Oryza sativa Japonica Group: one gene and its partners. The protein of the gene in region 1 binds, or shares a complex with, the protein of each later gene. Links are inferred from orthologs where the notes say so. Each region holds a gene or a part of one and is shown on either strand. Other genes may lie near its edges.

Region 1 (4,098 bases):
TTGTCTCCCCGAGGGGTCGGACCGCTCCCGTCTCGGCCCCGAGGGCCGAGGCGCCCCGACCCCTTGTGGGTTTTGCGCCGCGTATATGGGGTAGGTGAGCATAGCGGGGCTCACCTAACCACATTTATTGCGGTTTGGACGAGCGCGTCACGCCGCATGTAACGCAGTGCAGCGCGCTCGTTTATCCGGTCTGTGACCAGTCACAGACCGATCAGATCGTGGGTTAGGTGGCGACAGGCGGTCTGACGCACGCCTCGCCCCATCCCGTCAGGATGAGAGCCTCCAAGCACTCGTCCCTAGCCGGAGCCGGCGTGTTAGCTCCTGGAGATGGCACGTTGGTCCCGGTCAGATATATACCAGGCTTCATCCTAACCATTACAAGCAAGACATTGTATGAAGAGGGGCGAACATGCAGATTGATAAACTGACGCGTGGTGGACAAGAATGACCGATTTGTGACCGGTCTGACACTGGTCATGTCGTCAGCAGACAGCCATGTTCCCACGTCGCGCCTGCTTCCGGCGGAAGTGGAGGTAGGTATGGGCCGTCCCATCAGAAGGTCATTCGGACGGCAACCATACAAGTCTCCGTCTGTTTATGAAAAGATAGGATAAGTCCCCACAAAAAGAGAGAGATGGTGCATGTGGTATCCCCTTGAGGTATAAAAGGAGGACCTTGCCCACTTAGAAGGGGATTTTTTTTTCGGATCCAGAACGATCAGAGAGGGAGAGAGTAAGAGCTCTCTGGTTCTCCAGCTCTTTTGTAGCTTCTTCATACATAGATCCACAAAAACACAGGAGTAGGGTATTACGCTTCTCAGCGGCCCGAACCTGTATACATCGCCCGTGTCTTGTGTGTTTCCATTCTCGCGAACCTTCCACACACAGACTAGGAGCTTAGAATCTCACCCAGGGCCCCCGGCCGAACCGGCAAAGGGGGGCCTGCGCGGTCTCCCGGTGAGGAGCCCCACGCTCCGTCAGCCACGTAGACGCTACGTCGGCCAAAACCGCCCTCCATACTGCCGAGGGACCTTGTTTGCTCGGTTTTTGTAAGTTGAGGGACGGGTCATAACCGGTTTTGCGGTCAAAGGACGAAAATTAGACAGTCCGACAAATAGAGGGACCTAAAGTGAACTTATTCCGTGTAACTAGGGTGAATTTCTAGAAGAAAAAGGCCCAACCCAGTTGATCCTGGGCCATTATCCCGTCAGATACCGTACGTCCCACGAAGAAAAGCAGCCCAGCCCGTGGAAGCCGTCTTGCTCCCCAATTCCCCGAGCTTTTCCTCCCATCTTCCCCGCAGATCAAACGCCCCCCAAAACCCTAGGCCCCCCTTCTCCTCCGACGCCGGCTACAGTCTCCGACCCCTCCGGCGCAATCGCGGAATCGGAGGCGGCGGGCGGCGCCATGGACAACGCCCTCGCGAGCGCCGCGGCGATCGCCGACCAGCGCCAGAAGATCGAGCAGTACCGCCACATCCTCTCCTCCGTCCTCTCGTTTTCCCCGCCGGACATCTCGCAGGCGAAGCGCTTCCTCGACCACAGTAACGAGCCCTCTATCTTTGCCCCTTTACCTGTTGATTCGTATGGATTTTGTTCTGGTTCGGGTGTGACGGTTGGGTTCGGTGCGGCCGCAGTGGTTTCCGACGAGGTGCCGCTCGTGGTGTCGCGGCAGCTGCTGCAGACGTTCGCCCAGGAGCTTGGGAGGTTGGAGCCAGAGGCTCAGAAGGAGGTCGCGCACTACGCGCTCACGCAGATCCAGCCTCGTGTGGTCTCCTTCGAGGAGCAGGTTGGCACCTTTGTTTATACCCTTGGTTTCAAATCGTCAATGCTAGCCATATAGTAGTTCTGAATACATATGTTTTACTGTATAGTGGGTAGAATTGGTACAAATTTTCATGGATTTTTTCCCCGGTGATGATTATAGTTTATATGTATGGTAGTGGAGCCGTAACCGTCGCTTTTGTGATATCAATTTGAGTCATGTGGCATAATGTTATTGCAAGGGCTCATGACTCCACACAGTGCATGGAGATGATGCCGCTACCTTACTTCGTTTGGACAAGTTTATCGAGGCGAGTATGGCATGGTTCATTTTTGGAATTCATTGCCTGCCAAACTCTTAGTTTTGGAGGAATGTTTGTACTTGGTAATGATGTCAGCCAATGGTTAAGCTAGAGCATGAGATGGAGTGATGATGGGTTTGGCTAATGCCACACAGCTTGCCAGCCCATTTTATTAATTTATGGAGACTAGTTGTTCCCCTGGTGGTAGTGTACATGAAGAAAAGTATTACATGACCAAGCAATGCTATGAAGTGACTGGTGTTAGTTAGGGGTCTGAATAGGAAAGAAACTTGTCTGGAATGCAATGCATGATTCTGCGCATTGCCTGGGATGGTGGGGCCTTGTGTAAATGCTTTGTATTTCTCATCTTCCTAGTGATTTTAACATATAACATATTTATAAAGACACCGTACATGTTAAATTAATGATTGTTCATTAAGCGTTGAGTTTTTACGGATGCAGAAATTGACTATGTAATGCTATGTTTGGAGCGCATCTGATTAGGATGTATCTGTGCTGTGTGTTGGAACAAATCATTTTGTATATGATAAACAGTATTTCTTTAGGTTCTTTGTCTTTTGTTCTTTTATAGCTTATAGTGATTGCTATAAGAAAGGATAGTAGTGCAATACAAATAATTGTTGCTTCCACATGATTTGTGCCCGTGTGCATGCTACAGAAATGTAATTACTCTAGGTTGCCTTTTGGTTGATAAGAGTTCTTGCATAAGTTTCAATTTATACTGTCTGAAAGCTTTCATCTTTGTCAACCACAGAACAATTCAATGCAATTGTGGATTTGTTTTACTGAAGTGGTTACTCGTGTTATTTATGCAAGATTCCTAGTTTTAGAAGATTATGAAGAGCGGCCCAATTTGACATAATGATGTAAAAAATTGTTACGAACAATGTAACAATATATACATTCATGTTTGTTGGTGTGATAATGGGTCTTCTGTATTAGTATCTTTATAATTTACCCTATGCCAATTTTGGGCATTTTTTCTTGCAAGCTTAACCAAACTTCCGAACAAACTAACTGTTACTTTTGTTTGACCTTTGTTGGTATTATGCAGAGAAATTCTGCAATATTCTTAATCTTCTATTTGGCTGTTTATGATTTGACAGGTGGTAGTGATTAGAGAGAAGCTTGCAGAACTGTATGAGTCTGAACAACAATGGTCAAAAGCTGCACAGATGCTTAGTGGGATTGACTTGGACTCAGGGATCAGGTAGAAACTGACTTACTTTTCTTTCTGAACATGTGTATGGCTTTTTCTTCAGGACATGAAGCATCTGATTCAAATTTAAATTATCAGGATGCTGGATGACACAAACAAATTATCCAAATGTGTCCAGATTGCACGACTTTATTTAGAGGTTAGCATTGTTTGTTTGCTGTTGGCTTTAATGGTACATATTTCCAGCTTACTAATTTAGTTCTTCATTTATAGGATGATGATTCTGTTAATGCTGAAGCTTTTATTAACAAAGCTTCATTTTTGGTAACAAACAGTCACCAAGAACTTCTGAACTTACAGTACAAGGTTTGTTGATGCTGGCTCAGTTCAATATTTTTGTCTACATTAAAACAGACACTTTTACTTATTTTCTTCTTTTTTTATATATATTTAAGGTATGCTACGCTAGAATTTTGGATCTGAAGAGAAGATTCTTGGAAGCTGCACTTCGATACTATGACATCTCTCAGATTGAACAACGCCAAATTGGTGACGAGTAAGATTTTCTCTACATAGTTGCAGATTTGTTTCCCTTTTCAATTCATGTGTTTCTTATCTCCATTATCTGTAGTTTGCTTGTTCTGTGGTGACTACTCTATTTCTGCACCCTTCTAGCAATACATTATATATTTTCCAATTCCCCTGCCCCCTTGCTATTAACATCTTGGATATTTCCACTTAAATTTTACAGTTGTTACATTAGCAGCTGATACTACTTATAAAAATTCCTGATGGAACACTCTGCATGTGATCTCAGAGAGATCGATGAAAATGCTTTGGAGCAAGCTCTTAGT
Region 2 (4,112 bases), on another chromosome or scaffold:
GTTATTCATCTTTTAACAAATTCAAGGAAACACTTCTATATGATTTAAAACATAAAGCTATGAACTGACAATAAAAACAATGGATAGTGTATAATTAAAACTTAAAAAGGTTAAAAGGCAGACAGAGTGGGTTGGCAAGAGAAGACACAATTTCACATTATCCCTACAGCACCCAACTACAAAAAACAACCAAAACCATACCATCTACAATAGTAGCCTGAAGGGACAACACACATGGAGTCTAGAACAAATAAACATAGCAAAATAACCCAGCCGCAGTTCCCATAACACATGACCTCAATGTATCTTTCAGAAGGTCATATCAGATATGAGGGAGAACCATATATAAATGCAAACATTAAAACTTCTGTGAACAAAAAATAGGGATGGGATGCAACAATCACTCAAGTAAAGGTACACACCAGTCAGATAATGTATCTATCATATTGTTCAGCTGATCAGGTGTAAGATCCCTTCCAGTTGCAAATTGTACCTGTCAAGTACAGACAGAATTTAGGGGGATCATTTGCCAGCTAAACAATGAAACCATGAACAATGTACTTGTAAGAACAAGCATCTGACCTCAAAACACCTCCGCAGCTGATCCAATTTGCCCCTGACAATACCCTAGGGAAGCAATTAAACGTTAATATTTGACTAGAATACTAGCATCTATGGTGTAAAAGTTCAAGAAACAAACCGATGATCCTAAAGGCTAGAGAGCTTACAAGAGCAATAATCCACACAAGATATATTTGTAATGACATGGTTTTTGTTAGGGAGGTTAGAAGATGGAAAATAGAGATTTAAGTGCCTAAGGCAAAAAAATTCTCACCGAGTACATGCACTCATTGATGAGGAAATCTTCGAGTTCTCTTACATTGGAAACATCCAATTCTTGCATGAGTTGATCATATGGTAGCACCTGAATAGAAATGATAATAAAAACCAAGCACATTTAGTATTGTCTAAAGCAAAAACATAGAACAGAGTTTTAAGGTAAAAGATAATACTACATGAACTTGACTTCCAGTGCACACTCAAACAGGCTATGCACATAAAGAATAAGATAGTATTCACAGATAGTGTAAAGCTAAATTGGGCACACATAATAGGATGGAAGAAGCTTGTTTCTGGCATTGGTTGTTATCTGTTCAGAGAATCACTATCACTTAACACATATAACTGCATAGAACTATTTCCCATCATACGTAAAGAAAGAAGAATGAAAAACCTAGATAATAAACATGCAGACCAGCTATTATTTGATGAAACAACTGTGAGGATACATTTGGATCTTAAATTATCTTTGCTCAGCCTGGCATAAACCTGCTCATTTCATCTATGGCCCACATAAGCAAGGCAGCGAGGCACGATATTTGGTGCCATCAACAGTTCATGCTCACATGCTTGTCGATGAAGATGGGGCCATTTTTTCTCTCCTTTGACAGCAAGTTTTTTCTGACAATTGTTAAGCTAGATTGACAGAGAAAGTTAGATTTGTTTTCTTTTACTACCAAATGATAACTCCCCTTGCTATGCAAGGCTAAAATCCCCATTGCCAAGGATCTAAACGCTCCCTTAGTAACTTTATGTACACAGGATAAGCAAAAAAAAAAATGCATAGCATATTAGACAGTATCAGCCTAAATTTGCACCTTGGTTGACTCAGCCAAAGTTAGCACGCTGAGTTGCTTCAGCTTCCGGACTTGATCAGGTAACAATGCAGGGAGATTGCCAGAATTACCTACATGTATGAAAATTAAAAACAATTAATGAAACAGTAAATGTTCATGTTCTGCACTTATCTGATATTACTATAAACAGAGAATACCACAAACTGCAGACCGTTTTAATGACATGCCGATGAGAGAGGAAACAACAAAATTCTAGCAACCACAGCCTGACACACACTGATCATATTGGTGGGTGAAAAGGCAAATTGATTGTCACAGCTCAAATTATGATTTCAAGCACAGAAATGTGATAATTCTATCCACATATTGTTGCAGAATATAAACCATAAGACAAAGATGAATTATGATTAATTAGTATGTGAATCCCATCAAAAAATTAACCTATAACAATATAACACAAAAAAAAAGTGTGAATTAACATTAACACAAATCAGCACTATTGTTAACCATTAAACATATGGGCTATGGCCCTCACATGCCAATCGCGTCCATGGTAAGCGGCTATTTCATAGGGCGTACCCCTAACACACAACAACAAGACAATGCACTAGACTCACGCACCAAATAAGCATACACATATGACGCATGACAACACATACATAAGGGCAATGTAATGTACGAATCGCAACGGGAGGGGGTGATCTTACTCTTGTAGTCCTTCAATGTCCCATAGGCGAAGAGGCGGAGCACGTCCAGAGACGACGCATACTGCGTTCCAGTGAGCTGCATCAACGAACTGACATTAGATCGAAATCAGAGGGGGGAGGAGAGGTGGTCCACCCCCAAAACCCTAACCCTAAACACGCGCGGCGCGGCGGGGCGCAGGCGGAGCGAGAGGCGGGGGGTCCCTTATACCTTGGAGAGGGCGGGGAGGGAGAGGAGCTCGGAGAAGGCGAAGAGGGCCGGGTGGGAGGTGGCCTCGAGCACGAGCGCCGCCAGCTGCGGCGCCGACGAGGAGAGGGCGGCCGCCTGCGCGGAGAACTGCTCGATCAGCTCCGCCTGCCGCCGCTCCGCGTCCATCGCCATCGCCGCCGGCGATTTGCCCGGGGGGCTAGTACGCGCTAGGGTTTGGGGGATCGGGGTTTCGCTTTCTTTTCGGTTTCGTTCGCCTCGGTGATATTCTCTGTGTTTTGTGGGATTGTAGTGGGGAGAGTGGGTTTCGGGTTCGGTTGGGCTCCACGGTGGTGGGTGGTGCTGGTGTCCGGCTCGTTGCCGCATACTCGTGCTCGGGAGTCGGGGCCTGGAGGGCCACGGTCGCTTGGGCTGCGTGTCGACGTGGGGGATTGCTGCCATTAAGAATGCATCTTCCCCGTTTAGACACCAATTTTTTTTTAGCCTTCTTATTACTCCTCCTCCATCTGCTTTTGATAGTCATATTTTATCTTGACACACAGATCAAGGATAAATAATTCTACTTATCATCCATTTAAACATGCTACTAGTCATTTCTCGTAAACAAGCGATTCATTAATATTTACATTTCTCGATGCCCATGCAACCAATCTTGTGTGGAAGAATGGAGAGTCATGCATTAAATCTGAGAAAGTCATTAAGATGATAAGTTGTTGGATTGAAATATGCCTATCAAAAATAAATTTTTCAAATTTGAAAATATAACTATCAAAAGTAGATGGAGAGAGTATTATACTGCCAAAATAAACATTTTTCAAATTTTAGCAATACCAAAATTTTGTCAAGTTGACAATATTACTAAATTTTGATAGGATAGAGCGATAGACTAAATATGTTGTTGTCAAAATTCTCTAGGCATTAACAATGTTTGGTAACAAACTAAATACATTCACATGTTACATGTTTAGCTCATCCACATACATATTTTTGGATAGCCGATATAATTCGTTGCCTAATCTGTTCTACCTCATCAATGATCTGGGTATCGACTGCATCAGATCCAAGAATTACTTTCAGGGACTTGATTAGATCAGCTAGATGTTTGACAGAAGATTTGAGCTATGATCTCTGATCCTCAGTAGCTTTGGGCAGATCGGCAAGTTTATGTTCTTCAATAGCAATATGTGCATTGCACTGCTCCAATTCGGCTAGGAGTTCTATCTTCCGAGTATTCAGCCGATCTATGTTGGCTTGAGTGGACCTTGGACCAGCTTCCAACTCATCAAGTTTTGCCTTTTCTTCATTAATAGAAGTCCTACTAGCCTGGATGGTGGCCTCAAGATCTTTTCTTTCACGGCGATCAGCAACCCTTTGTTTAGCCTTTTCAAGCTTGAGCTGATGCTGTTCGAGGTATGCCGCTGGGGTGATAACATCGGCTAGTTCATCTGGGAGTTGGTCGTAGATTACAAGGAATCTATCTCTGATTGATCCACAACTGACCACCAGAGTTTCTAGGGAGCCTTCAAGCCACTTTGAGATATCCAGCAAGGTTGTTTTCACATT
Region 3 (4,183 bases), on another chromosome or scaffold:
GATGCTTATTCCAAAAATATTCAATATGTTTTTCAATATGTTTCAAATATAGCAAGTTTTAGTTATAGCCATAGAAAGAGGGATACACGAGCCTTGATGCATTGACCACAAAAAAAAAATAATTTTCAATATGTTACATGAATGACCTACGAAAAATTTTGGTAATTAGAAGGAAGAAGAATGCATTCACTATATTGAAATGGTAAAATGAAGACAACTCTTTTTGAGTGGGTTGTGCCAAAATTTCTACTAATTTTATACTCCACAACAGTACTCAAGCCAACAGAGATAGCCAATTAGATGTGAAATTGTGGATATACCTCATTGTGAACATCAAAATCAATGGGCCAGCATTATCACAATGATCAAAACAAACTAAAATTCATGCACACAAAAGTATGTTTAATTTTGACACAACCGAGTCTCAAAGACAACAAAATATCTGACACTTTATTCAAACCTAGAATGTACAATGCTCAATCCAGGAGAAATGTGGACAACACTGATGGCACAAAATGGAATTCAAGTATTGTATGAAGGAGAGGTTTCTATTTTCTATTGTGAAAGGAAAGTAATGTAATATGCAGTGTTATAATCCAGTCAGTACAATAGAAGTGCTACCCAAAAGAAGTCCATAGGGGCACCATCATTGTTTTAGAGTTTTAGAGTTGGACACGGTTATTAAGAAAGTAGATAGAAGTGAATGGTGGAGGGTTGTAATTGGATGAGTAGTGGAGGTAGGTGGGAAAAGTGAATGGTGGAGGGTTGTGATTGGTTGGAAAGAGAATGTTGGTGGAGAAGTTGTTATATTTTGGGACAAATCCTGAGGGTTAAAAGTTGTTATATTTTGAGACATAGGGAGAAACATTTACCTTCCAAAATTCAAGGAACTTGCAAAAACACATATTGGACGAAAGATTATAATCTATGAAGAAATGCTATGGAAGTTGAAAAGGATGCAGTGTATCCTAAAATTGGGACTTTGGATGATTTCTACAGATAAAGATGACTAAAAACACCATATTAACCATGTCAGAACTTCTATGATCTATACTGTTGATTAACATGAAGATAGTCAGAACATTGTACTTAACATTAAAAAACATAGTACAGCAACAAGATAGTTTCAGAAAATGTACAGTTAGTAGCATCCTCCTCATTCATCCCCATGAAGTGAGCCACATCAGCAACGCTGATTGTGGAATATGCAGAAGTCAACAACTGGAAAATCCTCTTTCTGTAGCTTTCTGTGTAATCAGAAAACAATATTGGATATTCAAGTTAACCAATTATAAATACTAAAAAAAATATAAAACAGCAGGCTTTATACTTATTTCCTAATATAAAAATAATACTAGAAGATTAGTTGGTTAAACAAGCAAAAGGGAAACAATCATGATGTTATTAACTTATTATCCTGATTGACGTATTATTATGGTATATGTCATAGTAAGCACTTCATGGAAAGAACTTAACTTCTCTAGTTCCACTACTGTGTCACAATGACTGCTGGTAAAATGTTAACAATCACCTTATAAAAAAGTGCAAATGTTTAATTATAATGCTATTACATTAATACATTCAACAGTTTCACTCATAAATGATAACTACAAAGTGTTTATTTTGATTGAAGCATGAGTTAATGAACATCCTCTGTGCATCTAGAATTGTTGCATCATGTTGTCAATTAGAAGTAAAAATAGGAACAAAACTGAACTTCTTGGGAACCAAACTCTTATGAGCAGCCTGAAAATAATCAAATCACTAGTCCTTATTAAGGAGATAGTATAAACCCACTGAACAAGGCTATCTTAGGAAGCAAGTATTTCCAAGATAAACACTTTAACCATTACACTACGCAGCACAAAACTCTACTAACGGGCACTCTACTAATAGTAACTTTGCGTATTCATTAAGGAAGCTGATTCAGCCTGATTGTGCAGATAAATCGTTTCCACAATTACTCCATGAAGTATATGTATGCACATCTGAATCTCCCGACTTCCCAACCCACACCACAAAGTGGTGACCTCCAACACAATACTACCACAGTATGCAATTCATTCTAGTAAGCAATACAACTTTGCACAAAGACACAGAATAATTCAACTGTTGCACGTTTCCATCATGAACAGTAAAGCAACAACCAGTACCTAGGAAGGCGGCCACGAAGTCGGCGATTTCAGGGCTCCACTCGAACCCCTGCGCGGCCGCGTAGACGCCCGCGTAATCGCGGTTCCAGAGGCACTGCCCGATCCTCCAGACGGCGGCGAGCTCCGGCCGCGCGTCCTTCGCCTCCTGCGGCGTCGACTTCCACAGAAACCTCGCGCTGTTCCTGCTCACACACGCACCCACCCAGAAACACAAAAACAACATTAATCCCGGAAGCCCTAGCCCAGAAAAATTCCATGGGAGAGAGGTGGGGGAGCAGATCGCGGGGCGTTACAGGTCGTTGAGGTAGAGGTGGGCGAGGAGGTGCACGGCGTAGGGCCAGCCGTCGGTGGCGGCGCCCCGGGACGCGGCCTGCGCGAGGAACACCGAGTCAGGAGCGCTACGCTAACCCTCCTCGCGTCGCGGGAGGCGGGAGAGGGGTGGGGAGGGGAGGGATTGGTACCTGGAGGAAGAGGTCGTCGCAGAGCGGGGCGACGGAGGAGTAGGACTTGCCGGCGAGGGCGGCGTGGACGGCGGCGAGATCCATCGGAGGAGGAGGTGGCGGTGGTGGCCGGCCGCCGGCGGGCCGAGGCGAGGGGAGAAGAGGGGAAGGGTTTTTGGAGTTCGAGTAAAATTCGGAATTTGGGGCAGATTTGGAGAAATTTCAGGAAAGGAAATAAACGGGGGGAAGAAAAAACCCACGTGTAATCGTGTATCTCTCTGGCCCATCTGACATGTCCGGCCCAGGCTGGCCCGCGAGGGATAGGGTTGTTTCTTTCTCCAACATATACTGCAGTTTTTTTTTCTTTTTGAGATTACATGGCAGACTCTAAGAGACGGAAATCAGCCAAACATCTTTTATGTTACTAAAACCCTGCTAAAAGTTCACCTAGATTTGATTTCTTTATGAGATAACATGGCAGACTCTAAGAGATGGAGATCGGTGAAACATCTATTATCTTATTAGGATTTAAACCCTAGTGGATGGAGCCATGCACCCACGACTCCATCACCACCCACTAGTGCTTCCCCAACATGCTGCAAATTTGACTACTATTTGATTCAAATTTGGAAGTAGATTGAATACTACTACTGGTTGGTTTTGTCTATTTAGAGAGAGCGGTGTTTTATTGGTTATGGTAAATCATTACTACAAAGTATCTCCCGAATACACTCCAAGGTTACGTTACGGTGCATAACATCACTAGAATGTTCACAGAAACGAGCTAATAAATGAGTCGCGGCATTCAACATAGATAAACATGATTAAAACTAATAGAGGAGAAACCCACTGCTATGACCTTGATGTCTGCAATCACTATGCCATTTGAAGATTGGTCCATGGATAATGAGTTAACTCTCCGTATGACTGCATTCAGAATTACTAGCGTTTTGAAAACCTTCTTCGCAAGTGAGAGCAACAACGCGGCGTAGAGCCAATGCTTCAGCAAGCTATACTATGGTAACCTCTTTTGTGCGCTCATTGCAAGCCAATAAATCACAGGTGTAGTTTTTTATTACCATGCCCACTCCCATTCGACGTGTTTACTGAAAAGTTGCAGCATCAACATTGATAGCAACAACATCACGGTTTTATTTGAATGAGTTGATTCGAAACAAATTAAATACTATTTGATGGTAGTTTGAATGAGTTGAATAAAAACTGTTACGAAATGAGTAAATTGCACAGAACTATTCGTAACTACAAATTTATGTATATCACAAAATTACAATTTTAACATCAATATTATTATAAAACTACTAGTTTCAAGAGTTTATATTTGGGTTGAGCTACATGCTATGATTGTGTGATAAAATTAGTGTTCAAATTTGTAGATCTACAATATTATGCATTAGACCTGTAGTATTGTGGTAAATTTGATGCTATTGTGATACACCCTCTTAAGTCTGTAGTTTAATGTAAGTTTGGGTAAAATTGTAATACTGTCATAAATTTAGATCAAAATTTGTGCTTTTCTCATACACCCTATAAAAATTATAATTATTGTTTTGCGATAGTATGGTAAGGTGG

What was found. Proteins that work in one complex are often made in the same cells at the same time.
Region 2: the proteins of COP9 signalosome complex subunit 4 (region 1) and COP9 signalosome complex subunit 7 are in contact, whole or in part, in a cryo-EM structure (PDB 9IS6), measured with the Arabidopsis thaliana proteins. The link is inferred for Oryza sativa Japonica Group from reciprocal best matches to the Arabidopsis thaliana genes COP8 and FUS5. Residues at the interface, in NP_199111.1 of Arabidopsis thaliana: Glu269, Arg270, Ile271, Arg273, Ser310, Lys313, Leu314, Tyr315, Thr316, Asn317, Ile318, Arg319, Glu322, Thr325, Leu326, Val357, His359, Gln373, Asp383; in NP_563645.1 of Arabidopsis thaliana: Met1, Lys108, Val124, Arg125, Glu128, Asp129, Ile132, Asn133, Met136, Tyr137, Lys144, Leu145, Asp146, Gln147, Leu148, Pro155.
Region 3: COP9 signalosome complex subunit 4 (region 1) and COP9 signalosome complex subunit 8 share a complex: the UniProt entries of both Arabidopsis thaliana proteins name them as parts of the CSN complex. The link is inferred for Oryza sativa Japonica Group from reciprocal best matches to the Arabidopsis thaliana genes COP8 and COP9.

Annotation. Positions count from the first base shown.
Region 1 is NC_089037.1:5,168,910-5,173,007, reverse strand, and holds the start of COP9 signalosome complex subunit 4, read left to right. Parts: upstream 1-1,298; 5' UTR 1,299-1,406; coding exon 1,407-1,787; intron 1,788-3,191; coding exon 3,192-3,295; intron 3,296-3,382; coding exon 3,383-3,443; intron 3,444-3,517; coding exon 3,518-3,610; intron 3,611-3,699; coding exon 3,700-3,800; intron 3,801-4,061; coding exon 4,062-4,098. UniProt on the Arabidopsis thaliana protein: Component of the COP9 signalosome complex (CSN), a complex involved in various cellular and developmental processes such as photomorphogenesis and auxin and jasmonate responses.
Region 2 is NC_089041.1:18,480,435-18,484,546, forward strand, and holds the start of COP9 signalosome complex subunit 7, read right to left. Parts: upstream 2,801-4,112; 5' UTR 2,724-2,800; coding exon 2,553-2,723; intron 2,421-2,552; coding exon 2,345-2,420; intron 1,748-2,344; coding exon 1,659-1,747; intron 926-1,658; coding exon 836-925; intron 628-835; coding exon 583-627; intron 494-582; coding exon 423-493; intron 1-422. UniProt on the Arabidopsis thaliana protein: Component of the COP9 signalosome complex (CSN), a complex involved in various cellular and developmental processes such as photomorphogenesis and auxin and jasmonate responses.
Region 3 is NC_089038.1:21,626,986-21,631,168, forward strand, and holds the start of COP9 signalosome complex subunit 8, read right to left. Parts: upstream 2,801-4,183; 5' UTR 2,699-2,800; coding exon 2,615-2,698; intron 2,524-2,614; coding exon 2,447-2,523; intron 2,336-2,446; coding exon 2,154-2,335; intron 1,248-2,153; coding exon 1,140-1,247; intron 1-1,139. UniProt on the Arabidopsis thaliana protein: Component of the COP9 signalosome complex (CSN), a complex involved in various cellular and developmental processes such as photomorphogenesis and auxin and jasmonate responses.